Linked DNA regions of Macaca mulatta. The protein of the gene in region 1 interacts with the protein of each later gene in a pairwise test. Links are inferred from orthologs where the notes say so. Each region holds a gene or a part of one and is shown in the gene's direction. Other genes may lie near its edges. The genes, in order: DAPP1 and FXN.

What was found.
Region 2: the proteins of DAPP1 (region 1) and FXN interact in binary tests that used the Homo sapiens proteins (3 or more experiments, as listed by UniProt). The link is inferred for Macaca mulatta from reciprocal best matches to the Homo sapiens genes DAPP1 and FXN.

The regions. Positions count from the first base shown.
Region 1 is NC_133410.1:109,152,458-109,163,167, forward strand, and holds part of DAPP1 (dual adapter for phosphotyrosine and 3-phosphotyrosine and 3-phosphoinositide), read left to right. Parts: intron 1-6,285; coding exon 6,286-6,419; intron 6,420-10,710. UniProt on the Homo sapiens protein: May act as a B-cell-associated adapter that regulates B-cell antigen receptor (BCR)-signaling downstream of PI3K.
Region 2 is NC_133420.1:100,091,348-100,102,057, forward strand, and holds part of FXN (frataxin, mitochondrial), read left to right. Parts: intron 1-6,795; coding exon 6,796-6,916; intron 6,917-10,710.

The DNA.
Region 1 (10,710 bases):
CTCCTCTGTCACTTACTGACTTTATCATCACTCAAACTGTCAGATAGCAAAACTTCCCAATTCCTGTTAGACCACCAAGTTAAAGGATTCCAAACTCTAAATGATAAAGGTATAAAAAAATTCCTGCTCCATTCATTAGCAGGAAAAAAATTTTTAGAGCTGGAGGAGACATGAGGAATTATTTGATACAAACCTTTCATGGGGCTGTTGAAGAATCTGAAACCCAAAGCGGTGGAATGTCTGGTACTCCAAAAATCAACAATAGAAACAGTGCCAGAATCCAGATTCCTGACACCTGGCTGAGTGCCCTTTTCACTATTCCCTGATTTATCTGTAAATGCAGAATGGATTTATGACTGTACAGCTTTCATAGTCACAACCTCAAGCAGGTAATATGCAACTTTACAATTTTTCCTATAGTGTGCTAACTTTTCTTTTCTTTTTTTTTTTTAAATTTATTTATTATTATTATACTTTAAGTTGTAGGGTACATGTGCATAACGTGCAGGTTTGTTACATATGTATACTTGTGCCATGTTGGTGTGCTGCACCCATCAACTCGTCATTTACATCAGGTATAACTCCCAATGCAATCCCTCCCCCCTCCCCACTCCCCCTTCCCCATGATAGGCCCTGGTGTGTGATGTTCCCCTTCCTGAGTCCAAGTGATCTCATTGTTCAGTTTCCACCTATGAGTGAGAACATGTGGTGTTTGGTTTTCTGTTCTTGTGATAGTTTGCTAAGAATGATGGTTTCCAGCTGCATCCATGTCCCTACAAAGGACACAAACTCATCCTTTTTTATAGCTGCATAGTATTCCATGGTGTATATGTGCCACATTTTCTTAAACCAGTCTGTCACTGATGGACATTTGGGTTGATTCCAAGTCTTTGCTATTGTGAATAGTGCCGCAATAAACATACGTGTGCATGTGTCTTTATAGCAGCATAATTTATAATCCTTTGGGTATATACCCAGTAATGGGATGGCTGGGTCATATGGTACATCTAGTTCTAGATCCTTGAGGAATCGCCATACTAAGCAACTTCAGCAAAGTCTCAGGATACAAAATTAATGTGCAAAAATCACAAGCATTCTTATACACCAGTAACAGACAAACAGAGAGCCAAATCAGGAATGAACTTCCATTCACAATTGCTTCAAAGAGAATAAAATACCTAGGAATCCAACTTACAAGGGATGTAAAGGACCTCTTCAAGGAGAACTACAAACCACTGCTCAGTGAAATCAAAGAGGACACAAACAAATGGAAGAACATACCATGCTCATGGATAGGAAGAATCAATATCGTGAAAATGGCCATACTGCCCAAGGTAATTTATAGATTCAATGCCATCCCCATCAAGCTACCAATGAGTTTCTTCACAGAATTGGAAAAAACTGCTTTAAAGTTCATATGGAACCAAAAAAGAGCCCGCATCTCCAAGACAATCCTAAGTCAAAAGAACAAAGCTGGAGGCATCATGCTACCTGACTTCAAACTATAATACAAGGCTACAGTAACCAAAACAGCATGGTACTGGTACCAAAACAGAGATATAGACCAATGGAACAGAACAGAGTCCTCAGAAATAATACCACACATCTACAGCCATCTGATCTTTGACAAACCTGAGAGAAACAAGAAATGGGGAAATGATTCCCTATTTAATAAATGGTGCTGGGAAAATTGACTAGCCATAAGTAGAAAGCTGAAACTGGATCCTTTCCTTACTCCTTATACGAAAATTAATTCAAGATGGATTAGAGACTTAAATGTTAGACCTAATACCATAAAAATCCTAGAGGAAAACCTAGGTAGTACCATTCAGGACATAGGCATGGGCAAAGACTTCATGTCTAAAACACCAAAAGCAACGGCAGCAAAAGCCAAAATTGACAAATGGGATCTCATTAAACTAAAGAGCTTCTGCACAGCAAAAGAAACTACCATCAGAGTGAACAGGCAACCTACAGAATGGGAGAAAATTTTTGCAATCTACTCATCTGACAAAGGGCTAATATCCAGAACCTACAAAGAACTCAAACAAATTTACAAGAAAAAAACAAACAACCCCATCAAAAAGTGGGCAAAGGATATGAACAGACATTTCTCAAAAGAAGACATTCATACAGCCAACAGACACATGAAAAAATGCTCATCATCACTGGCCATCAGAGAAATGCAAATCAAAACCACAATGAGATACCATCTCACACCAGTTAGAATGGCGATCATTAAAAAGTCAGGAAACAACAGGTGCTGGAGAGGATATGGAGAAATAGGAACACTTTTACACTGTTGGTGGGCTAACTTTTCTTATTGAGTCTCCATTTCTCCCAAATGGTAAGAAAGTTAATCCAGTCCCCACCAGGTTCATCCAGGCAATTGCAATCATTGTCCAGACCTTTCAGGTCCTCCCCACCCCACACCTGCTTCTTCCTGGCTGGCACCCCAGATCAGAGAGGCTGACCGAGCTTCTGGTAGTCAGGGGAGGTGGCTGGTTCTCAGCCAGGATCTGACACTCTGCCTTCCACTGACATGTAGCACGTTTTCTTGGGTTCTTAGGCACTTCTCCATGGATTAGGCAGCGGATGTGAGGACTCCATGAAATTTCCCTCAGCCACCCACCCATTAAGCTCAAACTGTTATTGTGTTACCGTTCTGATGGCACTTCCATATCCCATGGAGAGTCACTCTTCCCTTCATAGTGCAGTCCCTCAAGCTAATCTGGCCTCAGAGGCTCTCTCACTTCTTTTCCACTCTGCACGGTCACTACTTGTCACTAACTCAGTAGCAGCCTTCACACTCTGTCTTTGGGCTCCGGGCCTTGCCTCTATATTCATTTTCTATGCTACATAACAAATTATCAAAAACTTAGGCACTTAAAGTAACACAACTTGATTATCTCCGTTTCTGGCTGGATTCTCTGTCCAGGTCCTGCCAGGCTGGAATAAAGGTGTTGGAGAAGGTTCTGGCTCTGATCTGGCATTCAGTGTCTTCTTCCTTCATTTTCTCCTTTCCTCTTCATTCTTCTTCATCCATTCCCTTCCTGCTGTAGAACTGAGGTCCTCATTTTCCTTTTAGCTGTCAGCCAGAGGGGCATTCTTAACTCTGAGAGGCCACCCACAGTTCTTTGCCACATGGCCCCATGGCTGTTTACCACATCGGTGTTTGCTTTCTTGCATGCCAGCCAGAAAACATCTCCCTGACTTTTTCTTTGATGAGCAGCCAGAGAAAACTCTCTGTTTTACAGGGCTCATGTGATTAGTTTCAGGCCCACTCAGATAATGTCCATATCTTAACATCAACTGACTTAGGACTTTAAGGACCTGCAAAATCCCTTCCCAGTAGCATATAGACTAGCTTTTGATTGAATAATTGGCATAAAGTGTGTACTCCATGGGCTGGGACTTGGGGTCATCTTAAAATGCTGCCTGCCACAGCTCCCATTCCTGGAACAGTGAAAATCTACAGGCCTACTTGAAGTGGGTGTGCGAAACAGGTAGAGGGTGATGGGGTAAGTAGGGGTCACAGAGGAGAAAAAAGCATATTCATTAACATGTCACCCTGTTATATTTTATTTATACATTTTCTGAATAACATAGATGAAAAAATTATTAATCCAAGATGGAATTCTGTTTGAGTGGCAACAAGAATTGTGCTTTCTCTGCTCAACAGCAAATGTCAAAAGTCCATCTAATGGTTAAGTTGTAGATGCTTTATTGCATACACCAGAGGTCCCCAACATTTTTGGCACCTGGGACAATTTTTTCACAGACCGGGGCAGCAGCAGATGGTTTTGGGATGATTCAAGTGCATTACATTTATTGTGTGTTTTATTTCTGTTATTATTACACTGTAATGTATAATGAAATAATTATACAACTCACCGTCATTCAGTATCAGTGGCAGCCCTGAGCTTGTTTTCCTGAAACTAGATTGTCCCATCTGGGGGTGATGGGAGTCAGTAACAGTTCGTCAGGCATTAGATTAACATAGAGGCACACAGCCTAGATCGCTTGCATGTGCAGTTCACAACAGGGTTTGCGCTCCTATGAGAATCTATTGCCTCTACTGATCTGACAGGAGGTGGAGCTCAGTGAGAATGCAAACAATGGGGAGCAACTATAAATACAAATGAAGCTTCACTAGTTCACCCATCACTCATTTTCTTGCTGTGTGGCTGGCAGGGGGATGGATGGGGACCCCTGGCATGAATCTTCCAAAAATGAAAAGTTAATTAACTTTTCACCTATGTATGTCTCATCTGAGCAATTAGACCATAAGCTATTTATAAATCGATGACATATATTTCATATACATAAAGAATAAATTATTGATTTTCCTTACAATCACTAGAGAATGCTTATATTTAAAAAATGACCAGCAAAGGTGACAAAAACCACAGACTAATTCAGGAGAATGACTATTTTTGTTTTATGAACAAATATTCACTTATTTGTTCATTCTTTTACTGATGAATATTTGAAAGCATTGATTCTGCACCAGCCACGTTGGTAAGTGCTGTAGAACAGTGGTCCCCAACCTTTTTGGCACCAGGGACTGGTTTTGTGGGAAATGGGGGTTCAGGATGAAACTGTTCCACCTCAGATCATCAGGCATTAGATTCTCATGAGGAGTGTGCAGCCTAGATCCCTCACATGTGTTCACAATAGGGTTCAGGCTCCTGAGACTCTCATGCCTGATCTGACAGGAGGCAGAGCTCAGGCGGTAATGCTCACTCACTGCTCACCTCCTGCTGTGCGGCCTGGTTCCTAACAGGTACGCGGTCTGCAGTCCCAGGATGGGGGACCCCTGCTGTAGAAGATTCAAATACCTTATTTTGGGGAATTATAGCTTCACAGAGCCAAAAAGACCACATACAAGTAACATACTACAAAGTAGAGGTTGAGAAATAACATACAAGAAAGCAAGATAAGTGTTTAGGTGGTTCAGAAGAGAAAAAGCAATTAACTTTAAGCTGGAATTATCATGTAATACTTGACAGAGGAGGTAGTACTTGAACTGCAACTTAATGAGTGGCTAGGATTTCTACCAGCAGAGACAAAGAGAAACACTGTTTCAGGAAAAAGGAACAGTGTGAACTAAGGGACAGAAGTGGAAACTCCTTGAAGAGCAGTAGGTCCAGTTGGACTAGGGCAGCAGTTCTAAAGGTGTGGTCCGCAGACCAGGTGTGTCACCTGTTCTTAACATGCTAGGAATGCACAGTCTCAGGCCCCACCTTGGATCTACCAAATCTGAATCTGCAGGGGTGGAGGTGGAGGTGGCAGCAAGCTGGGTTCTCACAAGCCCGTCAGATGATTCTGATGCATGCTAACGTTGTAGCATGGGCTGCACTGAGAGGAATAGCAGGAAGTGAGGCTAGAAAGATAGAATGGGGTCAAATAAAGTGGAGAGGCAGATATATATATATATATATTATTTAATACTCTGCTCATTTCAAAAATGAAGTGGAAAATGACAACGTAGGAAATTTGATATTTTATTCAGTAGGCAGTGGAACATGCATGGGAGGAAAAGAGCTGGGCTCACATAACTAATCAAGCGACAGAGCTGAATTCTGATTGACTCCCAGACAAGCAAGGGAGAAAAGCCCAAGATGGAGGAGAGTGTGGTGAGGGTGTCATACGTCATTTCTGTCATTCCTATTCTCTGCCCTTCTTAAACTCATGCCCCATTAGCAGCATAATGTTCAAGGACTCTTTTGGTAAGTCTAGGAGTAGATAGGGAGAACAGTCTCTTGTCTTCCATTAGAGTAAAAAGTTGAGGCAGGGCGTGGTGGCTAACACCTGTAATCTCAGCTCTTTGGGAAGCCGAGGCGGGAGGATCACCTGAGGTCAGGAGTTCAAGACAAGCTGGGCCAACATGGCAAAACCCAGTCTTTACTAAATATGCAAAAATTAGCTGGACATCAAGGCAGACACCTCTAATCCCAGCTACTCAGGAGGCTGAGGCCAGAGAATCACTTGAATCCAGGAGGCGGAGGTTGCAGTGAGCTGAGATCATGCCACTGCACTCCCGCCTGGGCGACAGAGCAAGACTCTGTCTCAAAATAATAAATAAATAAATAAAAGTCGAAAAGAGCACACTCTGCCAAAAGAAACTGGTGATGCTCTTTAAAATTGTCAGTGGTTTCAATGATTGTCTAATTCTCAGCTCTTAGAAAGGGTTAATAGTGATGCTAACATCTAAGATCATATTTCCCTTCAACAAGGTATTTATTTGTTAAATAACATTAATTACTTATTTTTCCCTTTTAGGGCCAAAGATTCTGTTAAACACTTTCACGTTGAATATACTGGATATTCATTTAAATTTGGCTTTAATGAATTCGCATCTTTGAAGGATTTTGTCAAGCATTTTGCAAATCAGCCTTTGATTGGAAGCGAGACAGGTAAGCTATGAGCAGACATTTGACCTATGAAATATTGTTTCGGGATGGAGGAGAAACAAGGCAGATTTCAGTTGAAGAATGTCATGGTTGTCATTTATATTTCAACATTATCTTGAGGAGAAAACAATGTACTTTGTATAAAGTAGATATTTTCTCAGAATGTGTTACTTAATGGATTGATTAAAAGCATTTCTTCTTTTTTTTAATTTATTTATTATTATTATACTTTAAGTTGTAGGGTACATGTGCATAACGTGCAGGTTTGTTACATATGTATACTTGTGCCATGTTGGTGTGCTGCACCCATCAACTCGTCATTTACATCAGGTATAACTCCCAATGCAATCCCTCCCCCCTCCCCACTCCCCCCTCCCCATGATAGGCCCTGGTGTGTGATGTTCCCCTTCCTGAGTCCAAGTGATCTCATTGTTCAGTTCCCACCTATGAGTGAGAACATGCGGTGTTTGGTTTTCTGTTCTTGTGATAGTTTGCTAAGAATGATGGTTTCCAGCTTCATCCATGTCCCTACAAAGGACACAAACTCATCCTTTTTTATGGCTGCATAGTATTCCATGGTGTATATGTGCCACATTTTCTTAATCCAATCTGTCACTGATGGACATTTGGGTTGATTCCAAGTCTTTGCTATCATGAATAGTGCCGCAATAAACATACATGTGCATGTGTCTTTATAGCAGCATAATTTATAATCCTTTGGGTATATACCCAGTAATGGGATGGCTGGGTCATATGGTACATCTAGTTCTAGATCCTTGAGGAATCACCATACTGTTTTCTCAAAAGAAGACATTCATACAGCCAATAGACACATGAAAAAATGCTCATCATCACTGGCCATCAGAGAAATGCAAATCAAAACCACAATGAGATACCATCTCACACCCGTTAGAATGGCGATCATTAAAAAGTCAGGAAACAACAGGTGCTGGAGAGGATGTGGAGAAATAGGAGCACTTTTACACTGTTGGTGGGATTGTAAACTAGTTCAACCATTATGGAAAAGCATTTCTTTAAAATGGGCTGTCCATTTAAAAATAACATACACAATACACACAAAAAGAAGAAAGGTAAAAATGACGTTTTGATTACCCATAATTTCACGTATGGGCAGTTTGCACATGAGTGAGACCCACAGAAGTAAATTTTAAGCATTTTAAAAAGTGAAAATTCCCACTTAAATGTTCACAGGGATCGCTGAATATTGAAAATATTGACTAGGAAGTGCTCTCCTGAGTTATAAAATTCTGTTTCTATTGTCACAGTTTTTTAAATAAGATTTTAAGCTAGACTTAATTATGGCTGGAAAAGTTTGAATTGTCCTGTTTGAATGGTAAGAGAATTAAAGCAGAAAATTCGTGTTTAAAGAATAAACACAAAAAACAGTCTATCTTGGCACTTGAATTATCTAAGATTGAATATCTTGTTTATTTATATTATTTTAAAGAAGTAAATGTCATACCTGTATTTGTGATATAGAATCACAACACTTTTGTCCTAAATAATGATAAATCTCAGTTAATCAAAGACTAGGAAATTCCAAGAACCTGTGGCACAAGAGGAACTGAAGACTTAATAACACAACCGGTTACCATGAGTTTGAACATATGTGTTTTCTTGGCAAACTTGCCAGTGGGCTTTCTGTTAACTTCAGTGTGGTAGGAAGAGGGGGCATCATTGGCTTCTGTCTTTTCTGCTATTTATATGGCATGGATAGTCTCTGATGTGACTCAGACAGTGTCTAGTATACATGAAGTGCACAGTGGAAAACTGGAAAATCGTTGCTCTGCTTTATACTGACCACACCAAGCCTAAGACAGAATAATCCAAACTACAAACTGAAGCTATAACCTTTTTTCCCTTCTTTCTTCTGGTATATATTCTCCCAATCAACCTTGAAAATTACTTCACCATTTAACAAGCAGTTGTTCTCATGAACAAATGGCCAGTGGAGGTATATTTATTTCCATTGCTACCTTGGCCTTGGCAAGCATTTCAGTTTCTCAAATCCCTTCACTTCAGTCTCCTTTCCTACTTGCATCCAATTCTATACTGGATTTTGTTCAGTTATTGGTCACAGGCAATGGAGAGGAGATTTTTAAAGCCAGGGCTTTGTTTTGTGTACCTCTAATTTTTGTCTTTCATATCTGCCAGGTCCTGGCCCATTGCAGGGCATTTTGGGTAAATAAATAAATGAATAAATGGATAACTCTAAGTAAGAACTCTTTGTAGCCTTCGAAGCCACTAGCGTTGCCATTTTTCTGCTTTCTCTTTTTCCTCCAACCAAAGACAGCTCCCTTCTTTTAAACGCTTCTCCTAGGCTCTATTTTCAACTTCTTTGATCATTCCCTGTGCTCCTTCCTGACCCTCTCCAAGTTAGGGAAAAGATACATATTCTGCCTATTGGCAGATTTCAAAACATTTAAGATCAAAGTGAATGCAATGCTTTCTGGTTGAACCTTTCTGGCACTGATTCAATCACTAGGCAAGAGGATCACCTAAGGATGCTCCAAAATAAAGATGTTTTGATATTGCATTTGGGACAATGATAAGCTTCCTTGTAACTAACATGTTCTGAGTAAAGAAGCCTTATGATTAATGCATTAGAGATTGTAAGGATTTGTAATCCAGACTTCTACAGTAATTACTCTAAAACTCAAACTTGCTATATTATTATCTTGACTATAATTATCATTTTATTTATTACAATATAACTCAGGAACCTAATATTTTTATCCTCTCCACTGCCTCTCCTCTGTTCTACTCATTACCCAATGAAGAATTTGCTGCTGTTTGAATTCCTGCTTCCAGCCCCTGGTGCTGATGGATATGCACTTGACTTGCTAGCTTCCTGCCCTTGAGTTAGAGTCCGCTAGCTTTATTCCTCTTATCTGTCCCAGCCAGATGAAGGGAAAGCCATCAGGGCTAGGAACAACAGGCAAAACCCATGACAGATAAGTGTTCAAATCTTGCCCCTCTGGGAGTAATAGGCCTTGGGAAACAAGATAATGTGTTCAAGTCATGATGACTTGTAAGCCCAGAAAGTCCTCGAGGTTACAGAGTCAGCATTGCAGACTATAAAGAATGGTGAATGGAACCTGAGATGCCACCTTCTAAAAATAGGCCTTTTCTTCTTGTTCCTTTAAGCATGGGCTCTTAGTATTGGCTCCCAGTGATCAGCAGATCTTCAGGCTAATGATTTCATGTTCACCATTAGATGAAGTACGAATACTTCTTATAGTTTATGTTTGATTAACATCACCAGGAAAAGCATTTGTCCACACAATGGACAAGCCCCTCCCAGGGCTCTCAACTTCAGATTACCAGAATGAGAAGGACTAGAATTGGATATTTCAGGCCACTCCTGTCAGTCAGACCCCATGCAGGCCCAGCCTCACCCTGCAGGGCCTAGAGGGTAAGTTTATTAAAGAGAGACTTTCTTATAATACATTTATCTACTGGCACAAGTGGCATTACCTCTGAGGGCAACATAAATGATATCCAAATAACCAAAACTTTACACTTTTGCCTTGCAGTTATATATAATGCCTTCAGTAGAGTGAAACCCAGAATATTTGATTCTGGGTCATAAGAAAATCTTTGCACTCAAAATAGATAAAAGTGTTGACCTAAGGGGATTAATGCTATTTTAAGATATCTTTTTTTTCCTGTTCCCTACTCTTTACACTTTTAGGATTTCTGTTTGCTAATCTGAAAAGCAAGGATTTCCTAAGCAACATCTAAGCCTCTTGCCAACTTTAAGAGTATGTTATGATAATTTCCCTTTCCCTTGTCATAATCTCTATTTCATCTCTCTAATCTCCATTAAAGTTTCTGTTCACTCTAATTTATTTTTATCAATACTCATAAACACTCTTAAGATACTTCCAATTGTCAAAACCTAATAATTTCCTGAGTACATGATAGAGATATACAATGTACTCTCTTGCTTTATTTTTCTCAATGGCCCTTTTACCTTCTGACGTATATAATTCACTTATTTTTTTAAAAATACTTTTTTTTCCACACTAGTCTGGAAACTCCATGAAGAAAGGGATTTTTGTCAGCTTTGCTTCCTACTGTGTCCCAGGACCTGAAAAAATAAATACTAATCATTTCCACAATATGTCAGATGCCCCATTTCCAATGCCTGCATTGCAGTTTTTTATGGCAACACCAAAACTAGCAAACTTGTTACAATTTTAACTTTCAAAGTTTATAAAAGCATAATTTGAAATGATGTTTTGTGTTGCATGTATGCTCAGTGATGATT
Region 2 (10,710 bases), on another chromosome or scaffold:
GGGGTTCCACAGGCTGTTTTAAGACTCCAATCAGCTATTTCAGGCCAGACTCATTTTTTTTTCCTCTCTCTCTGTTGTTTTGTTTTGTTTTTTATGAAATCACACCCTGTGACCCAGGCTGGAGTGCAGTGGTGCAATCTTGGCTCACTGCAGCCTCCACCCCCCGGGTTCAAGCAATTCTCCTGCCTCAGCCTCCTGAGTAGCTGGGACTATAGGCATGCAGCGCCACACCTTGCTAATTTTTGTATTTTTAGTAGAGACGGGGTTTCACCATGTTGGCCAAGCTAGTCTCAAATTCCTGACCTCGGGTGATCCACCCACCTCGGCCTCCCAGAGTGCTGGGATTACAGGCATGAGCCACCGCGCCCAACCCAGACTCGTTTTTCTTTGAGAGTAGGCTTCTCCCAAAAGTAGGCTTCTGATTTATTCATTTTCAGGCAGTCCTATGTGCCAGGAACCACATCCAAATTTCCTCCCTGGATGGGAGCCTCAGGCTGCCTTATCTCCTTGCATGCCCCCATGCCCAGCTCTCTCAGCCTAAGGGCAGGTACCATGAGGTCATGTTAAACAATAAGATTGGAGACCAGCAATGCCCTCAGCCTGTGTTTTGCAGCTGGACTGGGTGTCTTGTTTTGGCTCAATGGGAAACCTTTGCTGTTCAAAGCCTTAGCTTCTCTGGCTGAGTGCAGTGGCTCATGCCTGTAATCCCAGCACTTTGGGAGGCCAAGGCGAGCAGATCACCTGAGGCCAGGAGTTCACTCACGACCAGCCTGGCCAACATGGTGAAACCGTGTCTCTACTAAAAATACAAAAAATTAGCTGGACGTGGTAGCGGGCACCTGTAATCCCAGCTACTTGGGAGCCTGAGGCAGGAGAATCGCTTGAACCCGGGAGACAGAGACTGCAGTGAGCCGAGATCATGCCATTGCACTCCAGCCTGGGTAACAAGAGCAAAACTCCATCTCAAAAAAAGAAGAAGAAAAAAAAAGCCTTAGATTCTCCCTTTGACTTTCCACGTTTGTGCAGCCTTTTATTTCCAATGCTCCATTTCATTCCATCTGCTGGCTTACTCTTTTCTTGTCACATCTATTAAAAACAATAAGAAGCCACCCGTATTCAGGAACATTCTAACTGTCCCCAGAGCTATATGCTCAGTAGGCTTACAGTTGGCCCTCCAGGTTTTCTGAGACTCAGATTTCCAGAGAGCTTTGCATGGCTCACAAGGTCTGAAGAGACTCTGAACCTCCCAGCCTGCGGTGTCTGTTCATTGACTTTGCCACAGTCTCAAAGGGGCACAGCATGCTGCATGTTTGAGTTTTTTGCTTTGGTGGCATCCATTTCCAGCCTCGGCTTCCAGCATTCCCCCCTCAACAGACTCTCTGTCGTTTTCTCCTTACTCCTTCTGGCAGTCTGGGAGGTTGCATAGGGCCCTTGCAGGATGCCCCAAGTTCAGCTCCCTCTGGCCTGTGGGAAGCACACCCTTGACCTGCCATGTGTAGGAAGACAGCCCACTTCTGCCAGGGCCCAGCTCTCTGCTGGCAGGTAGCACCTTCCAACCTCTTCACTTTGGACTTTATAACTGTCAGGTATAAAGTCGGTTGTGTCTTTATGTTTCTCAAATTCTTCAACACATGTCAACCAACCTCTCCTACCCATTCTCTCCAGCTCACTCTCAAAACACAACCTATCTGTCCAGCTCACTCACAAAACACACCCTATCTGTCCAGCTCACTCTCAAAACACACCCTTTCTCTCCAGCTCACTCTCAAAACACACCCTATCAGGCCAACCACTCCTTTTAAAGGACATCTCCTCACCAATCCAGTCAGGTAGCCTTCCCCACATTGTATCCTGGAAGTGGGTGATGGACTGGGCGGGGAAGAGGGTCATATGGCAGATCTGTATGTCTTACAGTAATTGTCTAGCAGCCCCTGGTGTCTTACTTTTAGGCCCCTTGGAAACTTTCAGATAGTGGAGTTGTCTGTTACATATCTTATAACCTACAGATATTAATATATCCTCACAGGGGCACAAAAGCTCTTATAAGGATATTTATTATAATAATACTTTTGTTGTTATAATTTACATGCCATAAACTCACCATTTTAAAATGTATAATGCAAGCGTTTTTAGTATATTCACAAGTTTGTGCAGCTATCACCACTATCTAATTCTGGAACATTTTCATTACTCCAGAAGGAAACCCTATTTGTATTAGCAGTCACTCCCCCATTCCGCCTTTCCCTAAAACCCAGCAATCACTAATCTACTTTCTGTCTCTGTGGATTTAAAGTAATTTTAAATTTGAAAAATAGTATCTGTAAAGAAATGTGTCCAGTCACGAGCATACAGCTTGATGAATTTGCAAAAAATTGAACAGTCCCGTGAACATACCCTGTAAGCTCAAGACATAGAATGTTACCAGCCGCTGCAAGCAAGCTGCCTGCTCACTTCTAGCCATTAACCCCTCCCTCTCTTCCTTCTAGTCATTAACCCCTCAGAGTTTAACTATTCTGATTACCAATAGCATAGGTTAGTTCTGCCTGTCTTTCACTAAACTGTCTCATTAAGTATAACCATGTTTGTGTATACTTGTGTATTTCTTTCTATCACAATGATGTTTGTGAGATTCATCCATACGGTTCCTATAGACAATTCTATTTTGCAGTGTAGTATTCCATTGTATGAATATACCATAATTTATTTATCTATGGTATTACAAAGGAGTACTTGGACAGTTTCCAGTTTGGGGCTATAGGATAGTTATGATACAAATATTTTAGTGTAGCACATGTCTTTTGGTGAACCTGGGCACACATGTCTGTTGGGTGTAGCCCCTAGGAGTGGAACTGATGGGTCATAGCATGTAAATGCATTCAACTTTAGTAGATACTGTCCAACAGTTTTCCAAAGTGATTGTCCCACTTACTTGCCTATCAGCAGTATCTGAAAAGTCTAGTTGCTTCTTTTCTTGGCCAGCTCTTTTTTCTTTTCTTTTATTTTACTGTAAAGACAGGGTTTCACTTTGTCACCCAGGATGGAATGCAATGGCGCCATCACAGCTCACCGCAGCCTTGACCTCCCTGGCTTGGGTGATCCCTCCCACCTCAGGCTCCTGAGGAGCCAGAACTACAGGCATGTGCCACACCCAGCTAGTTTTTTTAATTTGTTTGTAGAGATGGGGTCTCTACGTTGTCTCAGACTCCTGGGTTCAAGTGATCCTTCTCCCTTGACCTCCCAAAGTGCTGGTATTACAGGCATGAGCCACTGCACCCAGCCCATGGCCAGCTCTTGATACGATCTGTCTCTTTCTTTTCTTTTTTTTTCTTTAATGTGAGAAGTGTTAAATAATCTTTTTTTGATATTACACATAAACCACACTAAAATGTCTTTCAGTAAGTAAAATGACCCATTTTAGATACAGAAAATTCTAATTGGATTGGCACAGTTAAGGCCAAAAATATAAAGTTGACATTGCTACCTTATCTTCAGCCCTTGCCTTTAAGAGGCAAATGAACACAAAATACAGGTGAATCTTGCTGGGTTCTGAGACAGTGAAGGAATTTCCTCCAGTATTTAAATATATTTACATAACCAGTTACATAAATCTAAATATAAAAAAATCTCCAATAGATTTTAAGATGGCATTCATCATCTTTGTGAAAAGTTGAACATTACTAATGAAATCTGATCATATCTTTAGAAGGAATAAACAATGATAGTATTTACTGAATCAGAGTAACTTGGGTTTTTTTGTGGGTTTTTTTGTTTTGTTTTGTTTTTTGTTTTGAGATAGAGTTTTGCTCTTGTTGCCCAGGCTAGAATGCAGTGGCGCCACCTCGGCTCACTGCAACCTCCGCCCCCTGGATTCAAGCGATTCTCCTGCCTCAGCCTCCCGAGTAGCTGGGATTACAGACTCGCCCCACCATGCCCAGCTAATTTGTATATTTTTAGTAGAGGCGAGGGTTCACCATGTTGGCAAGACTGGTCTCGAACTCCTGACCTCAGGTGATCTACCTGCCTCAGCCTCCCAAAATGCTGGGATTACAGGCATGAACCACCACACCCAACCTTTTTTTTTTTTTTTTTTTCTTTTTTTGAGACGGAGTCTCACTCTGTCACCCAGGCTGGAGTGCAGTGGCGCAATCTCAGCTCACTGCAACCTCCGCCTCCAGGATTTCAGCGATTCTCCTGTCTCAGCCTCCCAAGTAGCTGGAGACTATAGGCGTGCACTACAAGCCCAGCTAATTTTTGTATTTTTAGTAGAGACAGGGTTTCACCATATTGTTCAGGCTGGTCTTGAACTCCTCACCTCAGGTGATCCGCCTGCCTCAGCCTCCCAGAGTGCTGGGATTACAGGCGTGAGCCACCACACCAGGCCCAGAATTACCATTAAAATTCAAAACACCGAACATACTCATTTAACCACAAGCCAGTCTTAGTTAAATCAGGACTGCCCAACAAACATATTCTGTCAGTCATTCATGATCTGAATTCTGGTTTATGAGGTCTGTTAAATGATGGTACACATAAAAGGGTCATAAGACATTTCTGTTTTGTAATAAATAAGACAGTGGATAATTATTATTCATTAGTAGCTTTTTTGAGATAAGCTACCAAGTCTGTCTTTTCTGCCGCCTTCTTAATGCTGGCAAAGATCATTTTTGTTCCAGGGATGTACTTCTTGGGATTCTCCAAATACTCCATCAGTGTGTCCTCTCCCCAGGTGATGCCTTTGTTCTTATTGGCGTCTGTGTAAGGGAATCCAATGGCCTGACCTGTCTTCTGCCCAAAAAGACAGACCATGGAGATTTGGCTCAGTTTTGTGCTTGCCCCCTTTTCCATAGTGTGGCACTGGGCATACTTCTGAACAAAAATCTTTCCCAACATCACCCGCATTAAATTCTCTCTTTCATCACTGGTGCTATGAGGGTTCCCGCCCTTTTACATTTTAACCATTCTGGTGGCATCTCACTGTGATTTTTTAATTTCCATTTTCCTGAAGATTAACAAAGTTGAACACCTTTTTATGTGTTCATTGGGCATTTGGGTATCTTTTATTTATGAAATCTATTCAAGTATTTTGCCCATTTTTATTTCTGTTGATTTTTCTTTTTCTTATTTATTTGTAGGTCTTCTTTTTTTTTTTTTTCTTTGAGACAGGGTTTCACTCACTCTGTCACCCAGGGTAGAGTAGAGGGGGCAGTGGCGCGATCTCAGCTCACTGTAACCTCCGCCTCCTGGGTTCAAGTGATTCTCCTGCCTCAGGCCCCCGAGTAGCTGGGATTACAGGCACCTGCCACTACACCCGGCTAATTTTTGTATTTTTAGTAGAGACGGAGTTTCACCATGTTGGCCAGGCTGATCTCGAACTCCTGACCTCAAGTGATCCACTCACCTCATCCATCCAAAGTGCTGGGATTACAGGCGTGAGCCACTGCGCCCAGCCGGTGTTCTTTATATATTCTGGATGAATCATTTTTCAGATGTATGTAATATGAATATTTTCTCCCACTTTGTGATTTGCCCAACAAAATTTTGGGCAAAAGCAAAATTTTAATAACAAAAGCAATGGAAGCATCCTTCATGTCCAGCTAAAGAGGACTGGATAAATAACATAAAATTAAATATTATAAAAATCCATAGGTGCTAATATAGAACAATTTCTAAGACATAATTAAGTGAAAAAATGCAAATTTCTAAGACACAATTAAGTGAAAAAATGCAAAATGCTTCATTTGTATATTAGAAAGAATATGCAGATAGAAGGATACAGAAAAGACTTTTTTTTTTTTTTTCTGAGACAGCCTCGCTCTGTCACCCAGGCTGGAGTACAGTGGCACGATGTCAGCTCACTACAACTTCTGCCTCCTGGTTTCAAGCAATTCTTGTGCCTCACCATCACGAGTAGCTGGAACTACAAGGTCACGCCACCACACACAGCTAATTTATTATTATTATTATTATACTGTAAGTTCTGTGATACATGTGCAGAATGTGCAGGTTTATTACATAGATAAACGTGTGCCATGGTAGTTTGCTGCACCCATCAACCCGTCGTCTAGGCTTTAAGCCTCTCATGCATTAGATATTTGTCCTAATGTTCTCCCTCCCCTTGCCCCCCACACCCCCGACAGGCCCCAGTGTATGATGTTCCCCTCCCTGTGTCCATGTGTTCTCATTGTTCAACTCCCACTTATGAGTGAGAACATGTGGTGTTTGGTTTTCTGTTCGTGTGTTAGTTTGCTGAGAATGATGATTTCCAGCTTCATCCATGCCCCTGCAAAGGACATGATAATTTTTGTATTTTTAATAGATACAGGGTTTCGCCATATTGACCTGGCTAGTTTCGAACTCTTGACCTCAGGTGAGCCACCCACCTCGGCCTTCCAAAGTGCTGGGATTACAGGCATGAGCCACCTTGCCACCTGGCCCAGAAAGGACTATTATTTGTAGCTGCTTCTGGGAATGGGGGCTGCCTGCTTCTTTCTGTAACCCCTTCCGTGCTGTTTAAATTTTTACTTTGGGCCAGGCATGGTGCCTCACACCTGTAATCCTAACATTTCGAGAGGCCGAGGCACGTGGCTCACTTGATATCAGGAGTTTAGACCAGATACTGCACTCCAGCCTGGGTGACAGAGTGAGACTCCGTCTCGAAAGAAAAAGGACAAAATTTTACTTTGTACATGTTATTTTCATCAGTTTAATGAACTTAAATAACAAGTGTGTAAATTTGGTATTAGTAAAATGGAAGTGTTTGGTAATCGTGTTTTGGGTTTTGTGTTTCCCCTGCAGCTCTCTAGATGACACCACCTATGAAAGACTAGCAGAGGAAACGCTGGACTCTTTAGCAGAGTTTTTTGAAGACCTTGCAGACAAGCCATACACCTTTGAGGACTATGATGTTTCCTTTGGGGTACCTCTTGACTTCTTTTATTTTTCTGTTTCCCCCTCTAAGAATTTTAGTTCACTAAAATGAAGAATTCCCCTGCAGCAGAGCTAAGCATCACGTACATTGGAGTTGTGGGTGGGATTAAAAGACTAGGGCTCCGGGAGGCGGAGGTTGCAGTGAGCCGAAATCACGCCACTACACTCCAGCCTGGGCTGCAGAGCAAGACTCCGTCTCAAATAAATAAATAGATAAGACTAGGCTTCAAGCTGCAGCCCAGCTCTGCCAGGCTTGTTGTGACCCTGGGCAAGTCACTCAGCCTCTCTGAGCCTCATTTTCCGGCTTCAGTGGATACCCATGAAGACAAATCAGAGAGGGGCCAGAATGTGTGTTTGTCCGGCAGGCAGATGGAGCAAACAACAAACTAGACCTACAGTTCTTCAGCAGGGGTAAGAGAACTGCCCAGAAGTTATTCAGATTACAGAGAGTTGAGCCCTGCTCCTGTGAGACAGTGATGGGGTAGGTCGGGTGCATTCCTGAGAAGCATATTTTTGAAAAGCTCACCTGGGATTCTAATGTGTCTCTCTAGGTCTTGTTCCTAGAGATTTTGATTACTTGGACTGGGGTGTGGCATGGCCTGGGCAGGGCACTGGAATTTTTAAGTTCCACAGATAATTCCAGTGTGCAGCTAGTATGAGAACTTGTTTTTTTTTTTTTTTTTTTTTTTGAGGGTGTCTCACTCTGTCGCCCAGACTGGAGTGCAGTAGCGCAATCTCGGGTCACTGTGACCTCCGCCTCCTGGGTTCAGGCAATTCTCCTGCCTCAGCCTCCCAAGTAGCTGGGATTACAGGCATCTGCCACCATGCCCGGCTACTTTTTGTATTTTAGTAAAGATGGGGTTTCACCATGTTGGTTAGGCTGGTCTTGATCTCCTGACCTCAAATGGTGCACCCCCCTCAGCCTTCCAAAGTGTTGGGATTACAGGCATGAGCCACCAGATCAGGCTTGGTGTGAGAACTTCTGAGTTGGATGAAACATTAGCCCCAGATCCTAGAAGCCAGGGAAGTGCTGGTCTTTATCGACTGGCCACCAGGTGGCAGATTTGGGCAAGGGTCTGCCTTTGGAATTAGAATTATTGCTTAGGCCTTAGAGTAGTTCTTTTTTGCCAGAGGCAGAAAATCCCTCGAAGATGGTTTTCTGGGTTGGTTTGTTTGTCTGTTTGTTTGTTTGTTTTTTGAGACGGAGTCTCCGTCTGTTATTCAGGCTGGAGAGCAGTGGCATGACCTCACTGCAACCTCTGCTTCTCGGGTTCAAGCAATTCTCCTGCCTCAACCTCCCGAGTAGCTGGAATTACAGGCACACGCCCCCACACCCAGCTAATTTTTGTATTTTTAGTAGAGACAGTGTTTCACCACATTGGCCAGGCTGGTTTTGAACTCCTGAACTCAAGTAATCCTCCTACCTCAGCCTCCCAAAGTGCTGGGATTACAGGTGTGAGCCACAGCGCCCAGCCCCTCAAAGATGTTAATCCTCTTGATGGCAATTAACTAATACCAGGAAATGTCACAAAGCGTGTATTTTGGATTCAATCATGGAATTGTTGAGGGCAATCAGCCATCAGACTAAAGGGATAGAAATGGTGTTGGAAATTGCAGCGGGAGCACTGGATGGAGAAGGCATTCCGCATGATGGAGCAAGCAACCAAGTCTTCCAGAAGGTATCAAGCCTGACTATAAGGACAGTGAGGGAAGAGCAGAATTAGATGATTGGTTTGGTTGATACCAGTGGTGAAGTCAGTCTTTTTTTTTTTTTTTTCTTTTTCTTTTTGAGACAGAGTCTCGCTCTGTAGCCTAGGCTGGAGTGTAGTGGCGCGATCTTGGCTCACCGCAACCTCCGCCTCCTGGGCTCAAGCGATTCTCTTGTCTCAGCCTCCCAAGCAGCTGGGACTACAGGTGCCTGCCACCACGCCCGGCTAATATTTTTTTATATTTTTAGTATAGACGGGGTTTCGCCCTGTTGTTGTCAGGCTAGTCTTGAACTCCTCACCTCAGGTAATCCACCTGCTTCGGCCTCCCAAAGTGCCGGGATTACAGGCAGCTCCAAAGTGCTGGGATTACAGGCGTGAGCCACCACACATGGCCTCAAGTTAGTCTTTTGAAGGGCTAGTTTCTGTTTAGCCCTTAGGGGGGAAAAGAAACTAATGGCAGTTAGTGAGGGAGGGAGTAGAACAAGGCCTGTTGAAACTCCTTTCCCATCATGGCCAAAACTGAAATTTTTTTAAGGTATCTCTGGGCTCCCCTTGGCCAAGAGATGGTTTGTTGAGTCAGTTGGGAGCTTAGGATTTTATTTTTATTTCTCACATCATTGACTCAATTTGAACCAGGTGACAAAACCTTCTGCTCTCAGTAGTGGGTCACAGAACCTTCCTAATTCCTGCCCTGAGTGTGTCTCTCTGAAGACAATATTAGGCTGGTAGGCTTTCCAGATTCTGTAACCTATTCTTTCAAAGGAAGAGATGCCTATATTTTTCTAGCCAATTCATATGCTTTGAGTATCACTCAAGGGTAAAATTGTTTCTAACAAATCATTTACTAATTAGCAAATGTTTTAAGTGTAGATTTAGAAAGCTAAAGATATATAGTGGCTGCCATCTGTAGTTTGGACTTGTGATTAACTACATTGAAATGCTAACTCTGTACCCTAGAGTGTGAATTACTGATTAGAGTCCTTCACGTGCTAACTAATTTATGTATTTCATGTTTGGTATTAATATTACTTGAGCTTTGTGGGAGGGCAGTCTTTTCCTCCCCTGAGGTATAGCTGGAAGTTACCTCCTTTGTGAAGCTTTCCTAGATACTCTTAAGCAGACATGGTCCTTCCTTTCTCCCTTGCCCAGCACTCTGAGGATGACTCTGTGGAGCACTGATCCCTCTGTGTTATAATTGTCTATTTACATGTCAGCTACCACCTATAATAGACTGAGCTCCTTGACAGCAGGGATGCTGTCCATTCTTTTGTGTCCAGAATTGGTGGGTTCTTGTTCTCACTGACTTCAAGAATGAAGCCGCGGACCCTCGCGGTAAGTGTTACAGTTCTTAAAGATGGTGTGTCCAGAGTTTGTTCCTTCAGATGGTCAGATGTGTCTGGAGCTTCTTCCATTCTGGTGGGTTCGTGGTCTCGCTGTCAGGAGTGAAGCTGCAGACCTTGGTGGTGAGTGTTACAGCTCTTTAAGGCAGTGCGTCTGGAGTTGCTCGTTCTTCCCGGTGGGTTCGTGGTCTCATTGACTTTAGAAATGAAGTTGCAGACCTTCGTGGTGAGTGTTATAGCTCATAAAGGTAGTGTTGACCTAAAGAGTGAAAAGCAGCAAGATTTATTGCAAAGAGCGAAAGAACAAAGTTTCCACAGTGTGGAAAGGGACCCAAGCAAACAAAGCTTCCACTGTGTGGAAAGGGACCCAAGCGGGTTGCTATTGGCTGGCTGGGGAAGCCTGCTTTTATTTCCTTGTCTGACCCCACCCACATCCTGCCAATTGGTCCATTTTACAGAGAGCTGATTGGTCTGTTTTACAGAGAGCTGATTGGTCTGTTTTGACAGAGTGCTGATGGGTGTGTTTATAATCCTTGAGCTAGACACAGAGTACTGATTGGTGTATTTACAAAGCCTGAGCTAGACACAGAGTGCTGATTGGTGCGTTTACAATCCTTGGGCTAGACAGAGTGCTAGACAGAAAAGTTCTCTAAGTCCCCACTAGGTTAGCTAGACACAGAGTTAGCTAGGTACAGAGTACCAATTGGTGTATTTACAAACCTTGAGCTAGACAC